3 linked regions of the Ovis aries genome follow. The main gene of each other region encodes a partner of the protein of the gene in region 3 in a complex. Links are inferred from orthologs where the notes say so. Each region holds a gene or a part of one and is shown on either strand. Other genes may lie near its edges. The genes, in order: GPR158, GNB5 and RGS7.

Evidence for each region.
Region 1: the proteins of RGS7 (region 3) and GPR158 are in contact, whole or in part, in a cryo-EM structure (PDB 7SHF), measured with the Homo sapiens proteins. The link is inferred for Ovis aries from reciprocal best matches to the Homo sapiens genes RGS7 and GPR158. Residues at the interface, in NP_001351815.1 of Homo sapiens: Gln35, Ile43, Ser55, Arg109, Phe110, Thr112, Pro113, Tyr114, Phe115, Lys134, Thr136, Lys140, Ala141, Arg142, Leu143, Leu145, Ala146, Asp147, Ala150, Leu153, Gln157, Trp164, Phe168, Met169, Gln170, Glu172, Ala173, Gln174, Lys176, Val177; in NP_065803.2 of Homo sapiens: Leu507, Lys508, Phe510, Leu511, Arg513, Thr514, Tyr595, Tyr598, Ala599, Thr602, Val603, Pro604, Ile714, Arg715, Leu718, Lys719, Tyr722, Leu725, Glu726, Tyr728, Lys729, Arg730, Met733, Ile734, Thr735, Asn736, Asn737.
Region 2: the proteins of RGS7 (region 3) and GNB5 are in contact, whole or in part, in a cryo-EM structure (PDB 7EWP), measured with the Homo sapiens proteins. The link is inferred for Ovis aries from reciprocal best matches to the Homo sapiens genes RGS7 and GNB5. Residues at the interface, in NP_001351815.1 of Homo sapiens: Pro19, Leu22, Val23, Lys26, Val30, Ile72, Val76, Glu77, His80, Leu81, Leu84, His88, Val207, Asp213, Ile214, Lys215, Lys216, Leu258, Gln261, Ile262, Trp265, Gln266, Gln268, Leu269, Arg271, His272, Arg273, Leu274, Lys275, Met276; in NP_057278.2 of Homo sapiens: Leu57, Glu60, Ala61, Glu62, Leu64, Lys65, Leu68, Glu71, Lys74, Leu75, His76, Asp77, Val78, Glu79, Leu80, Val83, Leu90, Phe93, Arg98, Arg99, Leu109, Lys117, Arg118, Ser134, Phe135, Trp149, Met151, Leu167, Tyr197, Ser206.

The regions. Positions count from the first base shown.
Region 1 is NC_056066.1:25,497,341-25,500,991, reverse strand, and holds part of GPR158 (metabotropic glycine receptor), read right to left. Parts: intron 2,698-3,651; coding exon 2,474-2,697; intron 1-2,473. UniProt on the Homo sapiens protein: Metabotropic receptor for glycine that controls synapse formation and function in the brain. Acts as an atypical G-protein coupled receptor that recruits and regulates the RGS7-GNB5 complex instead of activating G proteins.
Region 2 is NC_056060.1:56,359,230-56,361,899, forward strand, and holds part of GNB5 (guanine nucleotide-binding protein subunit beta-5), read left to right. Parts: intron 1-590; coding exon of another isoform or gene 591-641; exon of another isoform or gene 642-802; coding exon 803-899; intron 900-1,781; coding exon 1,782-1,948; intron 1,949-2,670. UniProt on the Homo sapiens protein: Enhances GTPase-activating protein (GAP) activity of regulator of G protein signaling (RGS) proteins, such as RGS7 and RGS9, hence involved in the termination of the signaling initiated by the G protein coupled receptors (GPCRs) by accelerating the GTP hydrolysis on the G-alpha subunits, thereby promoting their inactivation.
Region 3 is NC_056065.1:34,681,081-34,685,239, reverse strand, and holds the start of RGS7 (regulator of G-protein signaling 7), read right to left. Parts: upstream 2,884-4,159; 5' UTR 2,731-2,883; intron 1,501-2,730; 5' UTR 1,450-1,500; coding exon 1,372-1,449; intron 1-1,371. UniProt on the Homo sapiens protein: GTPase activator component of the RGS7-GNB5 complex that regulates G protein-coupled receptor signaling cascades.

The sequences.
Region 1 (3,651 bases), on a different chromosome or scaffold from region 3:
GGAATGATTTCTCAGATATGACACCAAAAGTACAGGCAATCAAAGAAAACATAGGTAATTGGAGTCCATTAGAGCTTAAAACTTTCAGGCATCAAAGGAGAGTTAAAAGATAACCCATGGGATGGAAGAAAATGTTTGCAAGGCATCTATGTGATACGTGTAATATTCAGAATACGTGAAGAACTCCTACAACTCAGCAATGAACCACCAACCAATTCAAAAGTGAACAGAAGACTCGAATAGACATTTCTGCAAAGAAGATATACCAAAAAGCACATGAAAAAATGCTAGACTGCCAGTAACCTGTAGGAAAATGCAAATCGAAACTACAATGAGAATTCACTTCAGATTGATTAGGATGGTTATTATAAAACAAACAAACAAACAGGAAAAAAAAAAAACCCAGAAAATAGTGAGTGCTGGTGAGGATGCAAAGGAATTGGAACCCTCATGAACTGTTGGTGAAAATATCAAGTTGTCTGGCCTCTGTGGAAAATAGTTGCAACCCCATGGACTGTAACACACTAGGCTCCTCTGTCCTCCACTATCTACTGGAGTTTGCCCAAATTCATGTCCATTGAGTCAATGATGCTATCTAACCATCTCATCCTCTGCTGCCCCCTTCTCCTTTTGCCCTCAGTCTTTCCCAGCATCAGGGTCTTTTCCAATATTACTCATCAGTGAAAAGAAATGAGCACTAGGTGGCTCAGTCAGTTAAGAATCTGCCTGCAATACAGGCAATGCAAGGCAATGCAGGGTTTCATCCCTGGGTCAGGCAAGATCCCCTGGAAAAAGAAATGGCAACCCACTCCAGTATTCTTGACTGGAAAATTCCATGGACAGAGGAGCCTGGTGGGCTACAGTCGATGAGGTTGCAAGAGTCGGACATGACTTAGCAACTAAACCACCAAAAGAAATGAAGTTCTGATACACGCTACAACATAAACAAATATGGTAGGTGAAATAAGCCAAACACAAAAAGACAAATGGTATAAAAGTCCACTTATATGAGGTACTCTGAAAAGACACATTTATAGAGACCAGAAAGTAGAACAAAGGTTACCAGGGATTAGGAGAACAGGGAGTTTTTTAATGGTTACAGAGTTTGGTTTGGGATGATGCAAAGGTTCTGGAAGTGAATAGTGGTGATGACTGCACAGTGATGTGAATGCATTTAATGCCACTTAATTGTACAGTTAAAGATGGTAAATGTTATGTTATGTGTATTTTACAATTAAAAAAAATAATATAGTTCTCCTTTTCGCACCAAAATAAGCATTAGAACATCATAATTACTTTAGCAGAATTTCAGCCACATTCTACATTAAAACATCTAATTTTCCAAACCAAAAATGAGCACTTATAAAATCACTTGTCAATTAATTTCTAAATTAAAAAAAGAAATTATTACAGGACTGGAAGGGAAAATATAAACTGTAGTATGTTCCCTTTAAAAAATGACTATCACTATTTTTTCCAAACCACTGAGCTCAAACAAAACATGTTAAAATAGTACTAAGAATAAATCAAGCAAAAGATTATTTTCAGAAGTGGAAGAAGCTGCTGTACCTTCCAGTATACCTTCTTTCTTAGAAATTTTCACTCAAAAATAAATTGTACTAACACTTCACATTATTAAGCTGTAAGAAGCTATGCTCTCTCTTCAGAATAGCTAATAGGAAAAGATGTGACTTGTCATAATATTTGGTTAAAAAAAAAGATAATTTCTAAATATTTAATATTCAGGATATTTCAAATACTATTTTAAAAATTGCCACTGCTTTAGAAGAACTTGCTGAGCTCAAAATCACTCACAGTTTATTGACAGATTTATTCTTTAACCCAGGACAAATGCATATAATTATTTCCTTAAATGTTTGTCCACAGAAATTTAATTTACTCTGTGGTATTGTATCATCAGCCTTAACCAAAAACATAGCAGAATCTAGTTTGTGTTTAAAATGATACAATATTAAGTAACCTTTGACCAGTGATTGCTGGTACCCACCAACTATAGAGTTGATATGTTAGGCATAAGCAAACCTCGTCGAACTTAAGATACTCATAACGAGACTAAATAATCTGGTTTTAGAGCCTGCACACTTATCCGTGAAAAGCAATAAATATCACAAATCTTTCTACACATGAAAAAAATTAATGCTATATTGGGAACTGGCTAAAGAAATTCTTCAAGAAGCCAAGGAGATGATATAAAAGAATCTTTTGAGGTTTTTGAGCTTCAGGCTAAACAGGGAGAAACATTCTGCAGGAGAAATTGTTATAATAAAGTTTCATATTTTCAATTCCTGTTTCTCCTGAGAAGCTAAGGAATATAACTTTCATACTCTAGTCGTATTATAGAAAGACTTTGGCTTAATAGAGAAGCCATTAGGATTTGGAACAATTCTATTTGCCTAAGAAGAGGTCGGTTCATAGTAAAAAGGAAGATCATAACCAGGGTACCTGGGTTTACCTTGGCTTTGCGAAAACGGTAGACCACCAGCATGCTCACGAAGTCCAGCAGCATACACAGGGCTTGAAAGGAGATGATAGCCAGTCGCAAGTACTTATCTTCCTGGACAAAGCAGGGCCTGTCGTCAGCACAGTAGGGGCAGCCCTCGCTGCATGGCAGGCAGACGTGGACTTCTTCTGACACATCCCTGGCACTTTCTACAAAACGGTGATCTGGACCCCTTCCTGAAAATTCCAAATAAAACCAGTGTCACTGCACCTTGGAGGTAGGTGAGACAGAGTCAAAATACATCCTCACTTCTTCATTCATTTTCCCTCTAACTAAAAACCTTTCTTCAACCTTCTTACTCAGTGAGAGAGTTTCTTTGCCTTTAGGCTCAAACAGAATTCTTTTCATCCTTTTGATAAAAAAAAAAAAAGTTATTCAGAACAACTGAGGAAAATTAGCAAAAATGGAATTAAACTCCTCAGAGGCAGGGAACAGTTTTCTGTCTTTTATTTCACTATTTTCCACTCCCTAATGGAAATTCCCTATGGTCACAAAGCATATTCTAGAAATATTTGCTAAAGAATTAACCAGAAAAAAAAAGGATGAGAAAGTTGTGTCATTCCTGTACCAAGTAAATAAATATACACAACACTTTTGGAACCTCTTGACCTAGATGGCACAGAATCTGAAATGAGGCTTTGATTGCTCTTTAATCCAGCAGGGATTTCATCCACCAAGTTCATTAGGTCTAAATTGGATAAAATGGTACTTAATCAACAGTTGTTCAGTGTGCAATTGCCTAATGATGGTGCATCCTCTGCCCAGAGGACAATCCATACTTACAGGCTATCATGTAATTTCCCCCTCTGCACACCCATAGGACATTTCCACACTATCAACTAACTGCTGTTACTGATCTACCTTTAATTTTGGATTCTTGTGTCTTGGTTATCAAACTTAACTTAGCCCTGAAGCCCAAAAGTAAGAATCCTCTTTAAATGTTGAGTTTGCATACTACATCACTTCAGTCATGGCCAACTCTTTGTGACTCCATAGACTATAGTCCTCCAGGTTCCTCTGTCCATGGGATTCTCCAGGCAAGAATACTGAAGTGGACTGCCATGCCCTCCTCCAGGGGGTCTTCCCAACTCAGGGAATGAACCCATGTCTCTTGGGTCTCCTGTGCTGCA
Region 2 (2,670 bases), on a different chromosome or scaffold from region 3:
TCCACATGAGGAATATAACAACCACATTAATCCCATTTTTTGAAGATTATTAATGATATTAGAAAATGTTCATAACATCGTGCTAATTGGAACAATAATGAAACATTCACCCCATTTAAATCCACACATAAAATAGATTAAGACTGGGACTTCCCTGATGGTCCAGTAGCTAAGACTCCGAGCTCCCAATGCACAGGTCGTGGGTTTGATCCCTGATAAGGGAACTAGATCTCACATGTTGCAATTAAAGATGCTGTATGCTCCGGGAGTTGGTGATGGACAGGGAGGCCTGGCGTGCTGTGATTCATGGGGTCGCAAAGAGTCGAACACGACTGAGCGACTGAACTGAACTGAACTGATGCCACAATAAAGACTGAAGACCCTGTGTGTGCCACAACTAAGACTTGTTGCAGCCAAATAAGTAATTATTTTTTTAAAAAGTAGAATAAGACTGAAGGAAATAGCCAGGTGTTAGTAAATATCTCTAGGATTTCCTTCTTTATGCATTTCTGAGATTTTCTGAATTTTCTACAAAGAACACATATTACTTATCAGAAAAAAAGGCTTACATTTTGTTTTTTGTACTAAAGAAATCTGCATTTGCTGTTTCTTCGAATCTCCAGTGCTTCGTGGGGATATAAGAATTGGGATTGAGGAAGAAAATACTGAGAGAAAACGAAAGGTTTTTCCCCTTGACCCTCAAACCACACAAGCTACCAGCACCTGCCTGTAGCTCTGTGATCACTGATGCACCAAACAGGACCCAGAAACAAGTGGCTCTTTGTCCTCTTTGTCACCCCAGTGTCGCCTCTATGACCTCCGGGCAGACAGGGAGGTCGCCATCTATTCCAAAGAGAGCATCATCTTTGGAGCTTCCAGCGTGGACTTCTCCCTCAGTGGTAAGGTTTTCCTGGGACTGTGAAACAGGACCTCAGAGAATCCGGCAAGCTTCCCCTCAGCTGAACTTCCTAGGCTCCACCTGCCAAGAGTCTACACCTGCATGGTTTTCCTCCAATGCATTTTTGACACCACATTTTGCCCAACCTGAGGCAGCTTCCCCAGCCCATAAGTGAAGGCTGGGCCCATCTAACACTCTTCTTCAGAACAATGGTATATCAGAACTCTATCTGCTATGCCTTTAGGCATTTCCTATCCAGCCTTCCATTTTCCCTTTCACACTTGAAAAGGGACTTTTTTCAGAGGTGGAGGGAGTGAATCGAGAGAGTCCCCTTCTTGATGCCCCGAAGCTCACGTCACCTCTGCCTTCACAGCTCGAGAGGCTACCAGGGGAACTTAGGGCAGTGCTGGCATATTGTGTCAGTGGACCGTTCAGTTCTCCCAGACACCTTCCAGCCATGCAGCTGTGCCTTTGTGCTGCTGCTGCTGCCTGGAACATCATTTTCCCTTCCTTCTCTGCATGGCAAACTCCTATTCAACCCTCAAAGGCCAACACAAATAGTGCTTCTCCCATAGTATCCTCTTTGATCCCCTTTCCTCTGTGATCACATAGCACTTTACACATAGCTGAGCACTTCCATTACAGCCCCTTCCACATGGTGCTGCAGTGATACAGGAGTCAGCCTGCCCACCGTCACCCTCCACAGGGGCCAGCAACTGTGCTTTCTCCTCTTTGAATCCCCAGGGCAAACCACAGTGCCTGGCACATAGTGGGCTCTAAAGCACTGTTTATTGAATGAATGAATGAATGAGCACATGAATCAGAGTCATGAAAAGAAAAAGGAAGGAACTGGTTGAGTAACCATCTTACCTCTTGCTTTAAGGTCGCCTGCTGTTTGCTGGATACAATGATTATACCATCAATGTCTGGGATGTCCTCAAGGGGTCTCGAGTCTCCATCTTGTTTGGACATGAAAACCGTGTTAGTACTCTACGAGTTTCCCCTGATGGGACTGCCTTTTGCTCAGGATCATGGGATCATACCCTCAGAGTAAGAGAGGCTTTTCTACTTTACTGTGTGTGTGAGAGCAGGAGTGATTGGTCTTCTTGAAAGCAGAGAGGTCAGAGTAAGCTAGGACGGGCCTAGGCAGCCAAAGAGAGCTCTAATTTCAAACCTATAGCCACAGAGGGATGATTTGCCTTGGGAGGTAGTGAGTCTCCCATCAATGCAGGTATTCCAGCACAGATACCCTAAAAGTCTGTTCCAGCCTGTGACAAATCCAATTGCCAATCTCACCTCCCACGAGCACCAGGGTCCTTATCCCAGTCACAGACCCCTGTGAAGTCCACACAGAGGCTTCAAGAGACCTATGAAGTCCATGCAGTTACATGCTAAATTGTGTATATGTGTGCATTTTTCCAGGAATAGTGTCCTCATGGCTTTATTAGATGCTCAAAGAGCTCCATGACTGTGTCAGGTGTTGGCTCCCTAGAAATGCCACCAAAATAACTGTTCAGCAAGTAAAACTCACTTCACTATGGAAGATCACAGACTCGACAGTCTTATTAGCATTTCAGAAGGAGAGAGCAAAGGCAGATATTATCTGCCAAAGGTTTTAGGGGTCTGATTGAAGGTAAATCTTTTGATGGAGGGATTTAAGTAGGATTGAACAAATTTGGGGCATAGCTTAAGACTGCTGGACACAGGGTCAGGGGAGGGAGAGAATTTCAAAGACTATCTAGAAAAGTAGCTGGTCATTTGATGCTTCATAT
Region 3 (4,159 bases):
AATTAAGCTCAAAGGGATTATTTCCTTGATTTATCCAGTCGGGATGCTTTAAGACTAAAATAGGCAATTTTTTTCCCTGTGAAGAAAAAGTTTTACTGTGCTGTGACACACACACAGACACCCCTCCATTCACAGGTACACAACATACTATAGTTTACAAGGTTAGCATCATCAGGATATCCATGCATATTCACACAGAAACAATAACAAGATTTCTGCAAACACATATCATCAGCACCTGTTAATGACACTGGGCCACACTGAAGGAAAGTCTGAATTTAGTACAGGTCAAGGTGGAAAGCGTTTCATCTTTCTCCATAACCAGTTCTGATCCTCTAGTAAACTCATCCTAGACTCTTCAATGGGGTCACACTAATTAAAGTCGTTAACAGTTTTCTTGGTTTCCAGGCCCAACCTCCTTTTTACCACTGCTAGTGTTAACTAAAGAAATCCTACCCCAACAAGCACTACAGATAATATGATAAAGAAAAATAATCCCCCAGAAAATGCAGTAATTTCTGTACCAGCATTTAAATGAAGAATGATGCTTCCTTAATTTTAGTCAGATTATTGATTCTAAGCAGAAAGAATTTACCTAAGCAACCACTCTGAAGCACATACAATATTCAAATACACCTTTATTATGGTGGCTCAATATCTAAACGTTTGGTATTGACAGCATCGTTATAAAATGCATAAAGCTGCCAGATTAGTTTGGAGGAAAAAAAGCTTCTAAAATATAAAGATTTACTTAATGGGCATATGGCACTAGAACATAAATACCCATAAGTAAAATTATAAAAATAACACAAAGTAAAAAATACCTTAAGCTAAGATTTAAAAAAAGAAACTGGAATTATTTAGTTAGAAGCAAAATTATTAAACCAACCATACAGACATAGCCACATTCACTCTTGCCCCAGGAATGCAATGTAGTCTTCATTCATTTCTAAAATGTTATACATCTGCATGATCATTACAACCCAAATGCTTAGGAGGAGTATTAGAAAAAAAGCTTTTAAAAACTATTACAGATGCTATAAAATCCTGTATGTGACCAACAAAATATGTGGGATGTCCAAATTTGCTGCTGCTGCTGCTGCTGCTGCTGCCTGCAGCTTCATCCATGTAGGATCCACTGGGAAAGTGTGAGAACAGAGTATCAGTAGCCTCATGTATTTCACTATGTCTCTACACATATGCATTACACATATGAATGTCAGCTCATCCTCAAGTACAATGTGCAGTCATCTGGGATTTGGAGAATCCCTAAGGTCACAAAATTGATAGATACTCTGATCTGAGGGGGAAAAGAAATATTCAAAGAAGCCAGAAGTTTCCCTTTTTCCAGGAAAGTGAAGAAATCCTTACCTTTCTGTACACCAGCATGTTGGGTGATTCATCTGCCACCCCATTGCTGGTCTGTCCATAATTATTCCCCTGGGCCATGTCACCACACACCCGTGGTCCACTCTCAGATACAGGAATTATCAGTCTACCCTGCAAGAGACAGAGACTTCAGTGAGTTCTTAATGGTAGTACTTAAGAAGGTTGACTCTTATTTTTCCAAACTTCAAACTTTTTACTTTGTATGGGAGTACAGCCGACTAACCATGTTGTGGTAGTTACAGGTGAACAGTGAAGCTATTCAGTCATATATATACATGTATCCATTCTCCCCCAGGTACCCCCTCCCATCCAGGCAGGCACATAAGATTGAGCAGAGTTCCATTTGCTGTTCAATAGGTCCTTGTTGGTTATCTATTTTAAATACAGCAGCGTGTACATGACTATTCCAAACTCCCTAACTATCCAAGAAGGTTGACTCTTGATTCATCTCCCTCATCCAACATTGGAGCATGCTTATATGCTGGGGCTGGCTTGTAGAAAGTAGCACAGAAACAGATTAAAAAAAAAAAAAAAAAAAAAGAACTTACACCTACAGTCCTCCCAGGAAATTTTAAGAAATGACAATCTTTTAGTTAAAATTGTCACTTGACTAGGGTTTTAATTGACTTGATTTTCTGGATATTCATTTTTTAAAGTGTTTGAGGCTCACTGGAGAGGGGAAAAAAAAAAAAAAAACGGTTACCATTTCCATCCTACAGAGTTCTCTTCTCTCCCAATACTTGCATCTCCACCGGATGGTGTTCCCCCTCCCTCCCCGAATGGTTAAAAAGGCAACACCCTGTGGCAGCACTTTCTCCCAGGTGTCTGTCTAGTTTCCCCGCATGCTAGCGCATCAGAGGCCCATTCCTGGGCCATTCTCCAGTCATGTGTTTCCTCTTCATTCCCCTAGGTCTCCCGCACAGAGTCAAGGGAGCTTCCTCGACTTTCACCTGCCTGCACTGCCCGGCCACTGCTGCTTCTCCCCTCGGCCCAACTCGGCTTCGGAAGTCACGGCGTAACCCTGCCCAACCCCGGCCAGAAGGCAGAGAAGGTGTCCTGGCAACAAGACCAGGTGGGAGGTCGGCCCTTCAGGCAATTACCTGGGTCACCGTGAGCAGCGCCAACTGCGGAAGCCTCGGAGCGACCAGGCAGAGACAGGGGAAAACAAGCAAGCCCGGCTCGCCTGCGGCGGCAGCAAATGGCAGGCGAGCCCGAGCCGCGCACTGGAGCCGGGCCGGCGGCGGTGTCAGCCCCGCGGACCCGGGCGCGGGGCTCCGGGGCACCGCCTCCGACCTCCGCCCCCACCCCAACCCACCCCCATCCCCGTGCCCAGCCTCGTACCTCCTCCTCAAGGTCGCGGCCCGAGGCGCCTGCTTCCCGGCGGCTGGGTGCGGCGGTGTCAGCGCGCGGCCAGCTTCATCACCTCCGCGCGGGCACAGGGCTCTGACGGCCCGCGCTCCACCGCTCCCTCCTTCGCTTGGCTCCCGGACTCCCGGACCACGAGCGCGCGCGGGACCGAGACGCCCGGCCCGTGCGCGCGACTGGGGAGGGAGGAGGGGACTGTCACGTGGGACCCGGCGTCCCTAGGTGCCGGCTCGGGGAGGGGAGCCGGGCGGGGTTGGGGGGGCTCGGCTCCGCGCGGCCTCGCTGCCCTGTCTCCTCCGCCGCCCCACCGTCTCGGGCAGAGAAAGTGGCCGCCCTGCCCCCAAGCGCGTGCAACCCGGGCCCTTGCACACCCGGCTCGCCAGTGTGCGCGCCGCTGAAGGCCTGGAGATGGGAGTGTTAAGCCGGAGAACAGAAAGGGCGATGGGTAGGTGGGTGGATGGATGGATGGAGGCATGCAGGAATGGAGGTAGCCCCTTGCGGCGGGCCCGTTTGGTCACGTGCCCGGTGACTACGCTGACAGTGCGAGGGTAGCCGATGACTGATTATCGTTGTGCTTTAAAAACGGGAGTAGAGAGATATTGAGACATCCTAGGAGTGAAAGAAATGTCCAGGATCAAATGAGTCATTCAGCTCGTTTGCCTGCAAATTTCACAGCTTCCCCCTAAGTTAGAAATGGGAAACGATTTGGAGACGGCCAACTCGAAGTGCACATCTTGCCACCTGTTACAGTGAAGGTATAGTCACAGTATCTGGTTTCTCTTTTAGACAAGAGATGCTCGGAGGACCTGTCACCCACTTAACTCTCACCCTCCAGCAGTTTTCAAAGAATGAGGGCGGAGTGATGATTTCCGCATAATTATTCTTCAGGGTGCTGTCACTAGTTCTTCTGTAAGGATTAGCGTGACATTAAGAAGAAAAATCACTTTTGTCCCAATTATAGTAAAGAACGCTGTGTGTCTGGCTTTCAGGGGCAGGGTCGTGCAGTTAAAAATATCTGAGGTTTTCCTTCCACAGCTGGGCCAGGTGTGGGGGAGAAACAGAAAATAATCAAGCTAGCCTCTTCCTAACCTCCTAGATAAAAATGGAACTTACAGCTGGTCAGGAGAGCCCGTCAAAGTAAACCCAGGACGTGTCCTCAAGTGCATTTCCTCAGTCCCACCTGGCTCCTGTCAGGTTTTAACCAGGGAACATGTCTTTTTTTCAACCTACCCTGTATTCTGAATAATACAGGGCAGAGATTCCTAGCCCAAACTATGTTACACACACCCTAGTCTGACCATCTCCCTCTCTTCCCCAGTTCCCAAAATCTTTCCATGGTGTGCTCTAGAAATTGTGATCTTTTTCAGAAAAATTGCCACTTTTTCAACTTCTTTGCTAAATATGT